Lonchura striata: one gene and its partners. The protein of the gene in region 1 interacts with the protein of each later gene in a biochemical or structural test. Links are inferred from orthologs where the notes say so. Each region holds a gene or a part of one and is shown in the gene's direction. Other genes may lie near its edges.

The links.
Region 2: the proteins of TBP (region 1) and MSX1 form a complex in vitro, tested with the Homo sapiens proteins (2 studies listed by BioGRID). The link is inferred for Lonchura striata from reciprocal best matches to the Homo sapiens genes TBP and MSX1.
Region 3: the proteins of TBP (region 1) and GTF2A1 form a complex in vitro, tested with the Homo sapiens proteins (7 studies listed by BioGRID and IntAct, with this or other methods). The link is inferred for Lonchura striata from reciprocal best matches to the Homo sapiens genes TBP and GTF2A1.

Annotation. Positions count from the first base shown.
Region 1 is NC_134605.1:42,589,807-42,593,549, forward strand, and holds the start of TBP (TATA-box-binding protein), read left to right. Parts: upstream 1-817; 5' UTR 818-913; intron 914-2,492; 5' UTR 2,493-2,675; coding exon 2,676-2,729; intron 2,730-3,395; coding exon 3,396-3,727; intron 3,728-3,743. UniProt on the Homo sapiens protein: The TFIID basal transcription factor complex plays a major role in the initiation of RNA polymerase II (Pol II)-dependent transcription.
Region 2 is NC_134606.1:12,955,697-12,959,439, reverse strand, and holds MSX1 (homeobox protein MSX-1), read left to right. Parts: upstream 1-1,213; coding exon 1,214-1,658; intron 1,659-3,071; coding exon 3,072-3,502; 3' UTR 3,503-3,578; downstream 3,579-3,743. UniProt on the Homo sapiens protein: Acts as a transcriptional repressor. Capable of transcription autoinactivation.
Region 3 is NC_134608.1:20,387,046-20,390,788, forward strand, and holds the start of GTF2A1 (transcription initiation factor IIA subunit 1), read left to right. Parts: upstream 1-1,346; 5' UTR 1,347-1,487; coding exon 1,488-1,517; intron 1,518-3,743. UniProt on the Homo sapiens protein: TFIIA is a component of the transcription machinery of RNA polymerase II and plays an important role in transcriptional activation. TFIIA in a complex with TBP mediates transcriptional activity.

The DNA of each region.
Region 1 (3,743 bases):
GAGGAACCATAGCTCCTGTGAGGGCCTGGTGCACTGCCAGGGACCCCCACAGATCCACAGAATTTGGAAGGGACCACAAGGGGTCATCTGGAGCAACCTTTTTTGCTCAAGCACCTGACATACGGTTGTGTCCAGATGGTTCTTGAACATCTCCAGTGAGGGAGATTCCACAACCTCTCAGGACAATCTGCTCCAGTGCTTGGTCACCTGCACAGTGAAGAAGTTCTTCTTCATATGCAGGTGGAACTTCCTGTGCATCGGTATCTGCCCATTGCCTCTCGTCCTATTGCTTGGCACCACCAAGATGGGCCCAGATGAATCCTCTTCACACCCACCCTTTAAATATTTATTCACATTTATGAGGTCCCCTCTCAGTCGTGTCTTCTCAAGGCTGAACAGGTCCAGGTTCCTCCGCCTTTCTTCATAAGTGGATGCTCCAATCCTTTATCATCTCCGTAGTCCTCTGCTGCATCTGCTCCAGGAGCTCCATGTCTCTCCTGCCCTGAGGAGCCCAGAACAGGACACAGCACTCCAGACGCAGCCTCTCCAGGGCTGAGTAGAGGGGCAGGATCGACCTGCTGGCAATGCTCTTCCTAATGCACCCCAGGACAGCACTGGCCTTCTTGGCCACACGGCACTGCTGGCTCGGGGACAGCCTGTTTGCACCAGGAGCCCCAGGCCCTTCCCCACAGAGCTGCTTCCCCGCCGGCTGGCCCAGCCTGTGCTGGCGCCCGTGGTTACGCCTCTCCAGGTGCCTCTCCTGCCCTCGCCCTCGATAATTTCCGACGGTTCCTCCCTGCGAAGTCTTGTCCCGCCGGCGGCGGGAAGTGACGCGCCGGGCGCGCCGGTGGAGCGGGAGCGGGGGCGGGGCGCGGCCGGGCGCTGAGCGCGGCGGGAGCGGAGCGAGCCGCAGGTACCGAGTGCCCGCCCGGTACCGAGTGCCCGCCGCTCGCCCCTGCCCGCGGCCGGGCTGGTGGGGCGCGATGGTGTGGGGCAGGCCGGGCCTGGAGGGCGGGGACGATGCGCGGGCCGGGCTCGCTCCGCACCTCCGGGGCGGCCTGAGCCGCGGCCGGGGGAAGCGGAGGGGCTCCCGCGGCGCGGAGGCGGCGGCCGCCTTTCTCTCCCCGGCGCGGCTCGGGAGCGGGAGGCGGCCGAGGCGCCGGCCGCGGGATGGGCGCGGGCAGCGGCGGGGCCGGGGCCGGGGCCGGGTCGGGTGGGGAGCGAGGAGGGCTGGGGCGCGGGCAGGCTGTGGCCGCACGCCGAGCGCTGCTGCGTGGCTGGTGGCGAGCCCGAAAGGGCCCCCGGGGGTGGGTCGGGGCCTCCTCCGGGCTGTCTGCGGCTTCTGGACTCTGTTCCCTCGACCGAAACGTCGCCCGACGTTTGTAGTGGAGATCCGAGCAAGCCGCCTTTAGTGGGTAGAGGAGGGACTTCTGCGTAGACCGTGCCCTGGGTGCAGGTTTTTGTATGCCTGGTATCCAGCCTTTTTACTAAATAGCTGGGCTGTCGAGGAGTTGAGTTTGTTTCTTCCAGGATAATATTTAGGCCTCTAATGTTCCCACGTTGTAAAACCTGGGTGGTCTTCTTGATACCTTTGGTGATATCTTAAGGTCATGGGTGGAAAAAAGCAGACCTTTCTAGCTGCAGTGTAAATATTAATGTAGTTCTGAGTTCTCATATCTTAAAAAAAAGAGAGGCTGCATAGGCTGTCTTTGCATTTTGAGGTGGCCTACGTCTGGCCTGATGTATTTGATGACCTTGAGTATCTCTTAGCAATAGTTAAAAAACTTAAAAATTAATGGGATAATATTTTATATAATTGGTATAATAAAATTTAAATCATCCACTTCTGTTTATTTCCATAACAGAGCAACAGAAGTGTAGTTAGAAATGAAAGAAAACCATTGTATGTCTCACTTGCGTACTTGAAATTTGTTTTCACATATTTCTTTTTTCCTCACAAAATGTATGTCATTACAGTTTGAAATCTGTCAGTGCTTTGTTTTATGGAATTGGATGGAAGAGGTTTTCCTAGCTGTGATTTGAGCTGTGATGCTCTTCTCATAGAAGAAAAAAAGTCATTTTTGAAAGCACAAGCCTTAAAATAGCCAGGAAGAGACTACAAGCAATGTCAATTAGTAGCCAAGGGAATTAAATTCTAAAAAAATCAGTGCTTTTGCAGCTGAAGCGAAGCTTGGAGTAGAATGAGCATCAACAGCTTGAGCTGTTAGTGCAGGAAGGTTTGGTTAGATAGAGGCCTGCTCGTGTGAGTCAAGTGACCTGCCAGGGACTTCAGCAGAATCATACTGCAAAGTTTCTATGGAGTGTGCCTGAAAAAGGTTATTTTTATGGATTGTGCATGTGTGTGTGCGTGCGCGTGAATGTTCTTATATGTATTTGTACGTGGGTGTCTCTTATCTGAGTCAGCAGCTGATAGATTTGCTTTTGGGTTTGTGTTTAGATATTATTCTCAAGATATTACTTTTTTTTTCCAGGCTCAGGACAGTGTTGTAGATCCATATTTCTCTGAAGCTGATGTTTTCCTAATACTTTCAGCTTGGCTTTAAAAGCTACTTCGCTGGAATGTTTTAAACGGTTAAAAAACCTCTAGGATTTGAATTTTATTTAAATTAATTGAAGGAAATACTTCTGGCCTCACCAAAGAAATAACTGGAATCATGGATCAGAACAACAGTTTGCCACCCTACGCTCAAGGCTTAGCCTCCCCTCAGGTAAAAACGAATTATTTAAAATGTAACTGTGATCTGAATTTCCTTTATGAAAGTGCTTTCTCTTTCTTATATCTACCTTCACAATTTTTTTTTTGTTAACAGATCTGAAAAATTCTACTAGGTATCGAATAATACTAGTATAAAGCAGAATTTTGAAACCATTGATGTCTATATTCAGAAGTATAAGAAACACATGGTTTTTTATACACTGACTGTAAGAATATATGTGGGATTTCTTAATGGGGTTCCTCTTAAGTGGAAACATGACTGACAAGTTGGAAAGATTTAATTTAATTTAGGTGGTTGCTGCTTAAACTATGTACATAATGGATTATTGCTGGGCTATGAGTGCAGTGGGTACAGTGAGCACAGTTGGTGTTCAGGCAGTTTCAAGTTAAATTGTGGGTCAAAGTTGAGACACACTTGCAAGGTAGTGTGAGAAGCACATCATGTTCCCTAGATTCCTTTGGGTAGTACTTTATTCTGTAGAACAGCTGCATTTCTGAGGATTTTCTAATTTTAATGATTTACTACTATATGCTTCAGGTTTGATATGAGCAACTTGGCTAACATAGATTTATTTTTGACTCCTCCTGAAAACTTTGTCTCTTAAAAACAAAATGGAGTAATGGATCTGTGGCTTTTGTGTCTTGTTTTCTTCTGCAGGGTGCAATGACTCCAGGAATTCCAATTTTCAGCCCGATGATGCCATATGGCACAGGACTGACACCGCAGCCTGTCCAGAGCACCAACAGTCTGTCCATATTGGAGGAACAGCAGCGGCAGCAGCAGCAGCAGCAAGCAGCACAGCAATCCACGTCACAGCAAGCGACACAGGGAACATCTGGTCAAACCCCCCAGCTCTTCCATTCACAGACTCTTACCACAGCCCCTTTACCAGGAACCACACCTCTGTACTCCTCTCCAATGACTCCAATGACTCCCATAACTCCTGCAACACCAGCATCAGAGAGCTCTGGCATAGTGCCACAACTACAGTGAGTGCCCCATGTG
Region 2 (3,743 bases), on another chromosome or scaffold:
TTCCATCAGATCCTGTTGCTTATCAGTTAATAAAATGTCTATTGTATCAATTCATTTCATAATCTATATGCTCCTAATCTACCATCTTTATAGAGTCCAGTTAAAAGGAAAGGGAATTCGCTGTCCCTCCCTGTTTAGATAATTGCCCTTAAATGACTGCAAGAGGCTCTTGTGTTCCGAGGAGATTAGAGCCCTGCAGCTATCAATAAACTTTTCTCAGCGAGCGGCCAATCCCGTTATTAGAGAGCGGCTCCGTTTTACTGCACATCCGTCCTGGGCGCCGGGATAAGGGATCGTAAAACGAATTAACAGAACAAAATACCGGGACTTTAAGGGCTCAGGGGCTTGTATGTTCCTTTTTAAGTGGGCGAATATTTCGTTATCTGAAGACACGCACACATCTACGCCATAAGAAGTAGCTCAATCATGCGTCGTGTATGCGCATATACATGTATATAAACGCAGATCACCACAGTCACATCGAACACACCGCAGGGCCGGCGATCATGTAAAAACCGAATCAAACATACAAACAAAAAAACCCCAAACAAAACAAAACAAAACAAAATCCACAAGAAAAAAAAATCCCCAAAAAACTCAAAAGGGCGGCGGAGCGGGCAGGGTCTCCTTCCCTTTGAGAGGTCACACTCGGGACAGCTCGGTATCTGCTAGTTTTGCAGAAGAACGCGCTCGGGCTCGCTGCCTCGCGCTTTACGAACAGAAAGGCCGGTGTTTTTTCCGACGTTAATGCGTTTTTCCCCGAGCTTTGAGCCTTCCCCTGACCACAGCGGAGGGCTGTGCCGGCTGCCCGGCCTGCTGCTCTCCGCGCTGAGACGAGCGCTGGGCGCGGAGCGGGCCCGGGGGACGCGGAGCGGGCCCGAGCGCTCCGGGCGGCGGGGCGGGCGGGGCGGGCGGGGCGCGCGGGGCGGGCGGGGCGCGCGGGGCGGGCGGGGCGCGCGGGGCGGGCGGGGCGGGCGGGGGCCCGGCGGCCCCGGCCCCGCCCCCCGCGCGCCGCCGGGCCGCAGCCAATGGGGCGGCGCGGCCCCGCCCCCGCGCGCCGGCTGGGCGGAGCCGGCGCGCGCCGCTTTATGAGGCGGCGGCGGCGGCGCGGGGCCGGAGCGCGCCGCCGGCTGCCCGCGCCCCCCGGCCCCATGAGCGGCGGCGCCGCCCGCTCCCGCCCGGCGCTGCGGTGGCGACGGCCGGCAGCCCCTGTATGGCCCCGGCTGTGGATATGACCGCCGCGCCCACCGGGGTCCGCAGCGACGAGCTGCCCGCATCCGCCTTCAGCAGTCCCGGTGGCGGCGCGCTGCCCGTCGCGGCGGCGATGGGCGGGGAGGAGGAAAGCGACAAGCCCAAGGTTTCCCCGTCCCTCCTGCCGTTCAGCGTGGAGGCGCTCATGGCCGACCACAGGAAGCCGGGAGGCAGGGACGGGCCCGAGGGCGCCGGGCCCCCGCCGGGCGCTGGGGCGGCCAGCCTCAGTCCCCGGCTGGGCGCGCTGTCGGCGGAGGCGCCGCCGTCCCCGCTGCCCCTCGGCGGGCACTTCGCCGTCGGGGGGCTGGTCAAGCTGCCCGAGGACACGCACGTCAAGGCGGAAAGCCCCGAGAAGCAGGAGCGCAGTCCCTGGATGCAAACCCCGCGCTTCTCGCCGCCTCCCCCGAGTAAGTAATGGTCCGGGGGCTCTGCGGGCCGGCCGCGATCTCCCGTGGGGCCGGGCGGACCGAGGGCAAGGCTGCGCGGGTGGCGGGGCTTTCCTGTCGCTTTCGCCCTGCCTGCCTCTCCTGGTGTATTTTTCGTGCGGTTCGTACTCTCCTGGGCCAGTTTGATCGGTCTAAAGTACTGAACCGATTCGAGAGTTCGCGGAGGATGGCTGCGAAGGCGCAGGAAGAGCGGCCGTGCCAGGGTTGAAATTTTGTGCCAAATGTTAGCCGGGGGAGGGGGAAGAAAAAGCAACGTAGCCAGCCTGTTAATTTAACCTGGGGCTCGAACTAGGTACTTAAGATTTGACTCAACATCACTGAGGCTCTCCTCAGAAAGTGGCTCAAGTTATTCCGTAAGGATGCGCACAGACCGCGCGGCAGCTTTGCGGACTTCAGCCCCACGGGCTGGCGTCTTAAATGGTGCATGTCCAAAGTCCGAAGAGGCACAATTAGTGATGCTTTCCTGCTTTAATGCAGAGAGATCTAAATTAGTACAAATAACAGCGTGGGAGCCGAGGTCAGAGAAGGCCGTTAATTTCCAGGGGCTGCGCTGCGCCCGGATCTGGGCAGCATGGGCCGGCTGCCCTCGGCCTGGCCCCGCTCCCTTCCTGCCGGGGATCCCTTGGAAGTGGATGACCTTAGTCTGAGGCTCTCCAAGCGTTTGGGGTGTCCTTAGCAAAGCTGCAAACAAGAGCTGCCCCTCTGTCCCGAAAACGGCAGGTTTCCCGGCAGGATTTGTGTAAAGCAAAGCAGCGGTTTAATTTATTTAAATTGCAAAGTAAAATTTGCTGTTGCTAAGTAAACCCGGGACAGCTGGATGTTGAAGACCCTTAGAAATGTTAAAGAGGAGAGGAGCAGACCAGTGGAGAGTGGTAGATAGAGCATGAGTGTCAATTCAGACCTCGTAATTAATTACATGCTTAATCCGGTTCCCAGGGGCCTAATGAAGAAGGGTGTGCGACTGAGAAGCCAGTCCGTTTTTTTTTTTTTTGTTTCCTGTAATCCAATAAAAAAACAGGATTTGTTTCTTCGTTTTGGAGGGCCATTCCCTTTATTTGCGTCTCCTCTTCATAAGGCAGGAGATGCAGAGTTTTTGGGTGTCTCATTCCTGCCCATTGCTGGGTTCTTTCAATGGAGTCAGAGCTTTATAATATGAAGCACCGTTCTCTTTTTTTAGAAAGGCAGACGGCAGTTTTGAGTGTGCCCCAGGCAATCCTGGTGGTTTTGGGGTACCTTGCTTCAAGTAGGACCCTATGTCTCCCTTTCTCCACCTCAGCTGTGGTAGGGTGGGGGCTCTGCAGGCTGTGGGGTTTTGGGCACTGCTAACCAAGGTGTCTCTCCTTTCCCCTCTTCCCCGGCTGCTCCCGGGTACAGGGCGACTGAGCCCGCCCGCCTGCACCCTGCGCAAGCACAAGACAAACAGGAAGCCCCGGACGCCCTTCACCACGGCACAGCTGCTGGCCCTGGAGAGGAAGTTTCGGCAGAAGCAGTACCTGTCCATTGCCGAGCGTGCCGAGTTCTCCAGCTCGCTCAGCCTCACGGAGACCCAGGTGAAGATCTGGTTCCAGAACCGTCGCGCCAAGGCCAAGCGGCTCCAGGAGGCCGAACTGGAGAAGCTGAAGATGGCAGCCAAGCCCATGCTCCCGCCTGCTGCTTTTGGCATCTCCTTCCCACTGGGCGGCCCGGCCGTGGCTGGCGCTTCTCTGTACGGCGCCTCCAGCCCTTTTCAGCGGGCAGGGCTGCCCGTGGCTCCTGTGGGACTATACACAGCACATGTGGGATATAGCATGTACCACCTCACATAGAGCCAGAGCCGAGCCCAGCCCAGGACTGCTGACTGTCTGCTCCCTCTGGCTCCACACACACTCCCTCCCTGCTCCTCTGGCTCTCCTCTGTGGACTTCCCCATGGAGCCTATGGCAGAGGCTCCTTCCGTTTGGCTCTGCTTGACCTCTCTGCTTCCCCCTCTGATGCTGAGCCCTTATCCCAGCACTGTTCTGGTCTCCTCAGCAGTCCTGGGGAGCTGGCAGAAACCTGAGGCATTGCC
Region 3 (3,743 bases), on another chromosome or scaffold:
AAAGCAGCAACATTGCAGATCAGTAAGCACCTGTGGGCCTTGAGGAGACCCTGAGGAAGGACAGCTGTAAATGCTTAGGTTGTGCTGCCTCCCTCTTCCTGGCCACCTCTAGCCTCAGCTACTAGCCCCAGTGGTAGCACTCTCCTACAACAGTGGCACATAGGCCTGGGCAGCCTTTAATCAACTTCTTGTGAGGGAAAGCACCAGTGCTCACAATGCTGAGCAGGGTTCAGAACCCCTTCCTCGTGGGCCCAGAAGAGCCATTTCTGTCTAGTAGTAATTACTTGCAGTTTTTAATTGCCTTGGAGCAACCTCCTGGGGACCGAGGTGAGGCGTGTTGATTTCTGCAGAGCCTGGCACCAGCTGTCACCCGCAGCTTGGACAGCAGGGCCCGAGCGTGTGAGGGCTGCCAGCTCTTCTCCCAGCACTGTGCCCTGCTGCAGGCACCATAGCCCAGCCCTGGTCAACAGCAGCTGAACACAGTCAGGTGTGCCCTGGTGGCCAAGAAGGCTGATGGCATCTTGGCTTGTATCAGCCATAGTGTGGCCAGCAGGACCAGGGCATTTATCTTCTCCCTCTACTTAGCACTGGTGGGGCTGCACTTTGAATTCTGTGTTCAGTTCTGAGCCTCACTTCAGGGAGGACATCGAGGGGTTGGACCACGTCTAGAGAAAGGGAATGAAGCTGGTGAAGGGTCTGGGACACAAGTCTGATGAGGAGCAGCTGAGAGAGCTGGGGTTGTTGAGCCTGGAGAAAAGGAGGCTCTGGGGGATGTTTTTGCTCTCTATGACCACCTGAAGGAAGGTGGTAGCCAAGTGGAGATTCATCTCTTCTGCCAGGCAACCAGGGACAGGACAGGGGAGGTTGAGGGTGGCCATCAGGGTGAATTTCTTCACATAAAAGTGATTAGACACTGGAATAAGCTGCCCAGAGAGGCGGTGGAAGCATGATCCGTGGAGGTGTTTAAGGACGTGACACTTAGTGCCCTAGTGTAGCTGACACGGGGCTGTTCGGCCATTGGCTGGACTCCACGGTCTCGCAGGACTTCTCCCAACGAAGCGGTTCCGTTTGTCCGTCCCGCGCTCAGGCGGGCGGGGAGAGGCGAAGGCGCTTCCGCCTCGCTGGGGCCCGGCCGCGCCGCCACTTCCGCCTCGGTAGGTGTCATGGCGGCGGGGGCGGGGCGCCCGCGTGACGCCTCGGTCCCGGCGCGGTCTCGCGGCAGCTCTCGCGGTGCTTCGCGCCCCCCCCGCCCGCGTCCCCCGCTCGCCGGCCGCTCGCGCAGCGCTCGGCTCGCGCTATATAAAGGGGCGAGGCGGCAGCGCGGCGGCTGCAGCCCCGGGGCCGCGAGCGAGCCCGGCACAGGCCGCGGGGCCGCCCGTCAGCCGGGGCGGAACGCGCGGGCGCTGGGGGGACGCAGCCGGGCAGGTTTATTGTTTTAGGGGCGACTCCCCCCCCCGCGGTTGGGGGCGTCCCGGGGGGCTCGGGACATGGCGAGCTCGACTAACACAAACCCCGTGGTAAGGACCGGGTCGGGGGGCGAGGGGGGCCCCGGGGGCAGCGCGGGCGGAGGTGGCCGGCGGGGCCCGCCGCCCCCTCCCCCGCACTCCCTTCCCTCCCGCCGCCCGCCTCGGGCGGTCCCGGCCCCCCGGCGGGCAGGGGCGGCGGGGGGCGCCGGGCAGCCTCGCCCCCGCGGCGGCAGCCAACTTGTGGCGCCCGGCGGCGGGGAGAGAGGCGGCGGGAGCGGAGCGGCGGGGGCGCGGGGCGGCGGCCCGGGGGCGGCCCCGCGGGGAGGCCGGGGGTCCGGCGGGGAAGGGAAGGAAGGGCCGCCGGGCGGGGGGCGCCCGCCGCCGGCGGGAGGCGCCCGGGGAAGGGGCGAGAGCCGGAGCAGCGCGGGCGCTAACGCCCGCCCCGAGACGAGGGGAAGGGGCGCCCGAGCCAGCTTTCGGTTCTGCGGCGCTGGGGAAGCCCGCCTGGGCTCCGCTGGAGCCATTTTATGTTGCTTTGTAAGAAGGAGACGATGGTTGAAAAGCACTTATCCCACTCCGGCCGGATCGGCTAAGCCGAGCGAAAGCCCTCAACTCTGGCGAGCGAGGCAGTATTTATTTTAAAAAGAGAGAACGAAGAAAAAAAAAAAAAAAAACCGCAAAAAACCCCAAACCCAAACCTCTCCCCCGTTCCCTTCTCGTGCTTTCTGCACCTTGGCGGGTGGCTCGCTGCTGCACTTGTACTCACAGAGGTTTGCAACAAGCAGTCACACAGACCTGCGCTGCCACCGAGCCCCCCCGGCCGCCGCTCCGCTCCCCGGCGCGCCCCCGGCCGCGACCCCCGCCCCGAAGCGCTGGAGGAGACAAACCCGGCGTCCCGGCGGCGGGCTCGGCCCCCTTGTTTGTGGCTCTCAGATCCATCATGGCTTCCCCCTGCCTTTCTGCCTCCCTGCTCCTTGTGTTCCTCCTCCCTGTGGCTGCCCTGTTTATATAGCGCTATTGCCGCTCTCTAATATAGACTCTGCTAGGATGGGAAGGTGCTTTCCAGCCCCACGTCACCGCCTCTCCATTTAAACACCACATCAGCCTTTAAATAGGGAGCGAGCCGCGGAGCGCGGGCTGGGAGGTGCATGCGGCGGAGGCTGGGAGACGGGCGGCTTGTCCCTCGGATCCCGGCCGGCCTTGCCCATCGCTTTCTCTTCCCTCCGCGCCGCCCGTCCCCGTCGCCACCGGGCTGCGGAGCGGTGGTGCTTTGCGGGTGCGAGGGTGTCTCCTACCCGTGTAAATGAGCTTTCTTTTGCTTCTACGCATTGCACAAAGACGGTTTTCATCTGCTCCTGCATTTGAATCTGTCCTACCCTTTACCTTTTTTTTTTTTATTATTATTTTTTTTTTATTTTGCTTGGTTAATTTTGGGTTTGCTGTGGTTTTTTTTTTTTCGTTTATTTAAGGTTTGGGGTTTTTTGTCCTTGGCGTAGAGCTCGCACACGTTCCTGTGCTCCTGTAAAGTCTTCAAAGTAGCTGTTCTACTGCGTGGGGAAAGGAGTGTTTAAACGGTTCTTACCCAGTGTATCAAGGAGAGTTGTGGTATTTATTTTATGGCGCTTTGCCAAGATCTGACTACAGCTGTCTCCCCAAAAGTGAAGTTAACATTCAAGTTTTATGCGTGGGTCATGGGCTGCAGATGCTGCTCAATGATTTATGTGTGTTTCTGGTGCCTAAAGTGTACAAATATTTTATTGCATTCCAGGCAGAGCAGTGGTTTTGGAATTTTCACTACTTAGTTTCATTACAGTATTTGATATACTACAAAATATACAAAAGAAAATGCAAAGTGTCTTAGTTTTCTTTTCCTAATCTGAAATGTTAAGAGACCTGCTTGTGAGTTAGGTTTATGCAATTGCATAATATCTTTGATTTGATATTTTGTCAGCTTTTGTATCAGAAAATTTTAGGAAAGTAGTCAGCTGTTACACAGAGGGCAGTTACTCAGCAGGATGCACATTGAATGCGTGTGATTTGAATCTTCTTTAGTTTATGATCTTCTGTTTATGAACAGTCCTTCTGTTTATGCACTTATTTATTTGTGTTTTTATTGTAAGGAAAGGTTTTATTTCAGTGTAGTAAACTAGAGGCTTTTCCTCTCTTTCTTGACTGAAGTAGTACTGAATGGCAAAAACAATGCCTGTAAATATTTTTGATTAAGCTATTTACTAAGACTTGCTTTCTTCCGCTGTATTTCTGTGCTGGAAGTTCTTT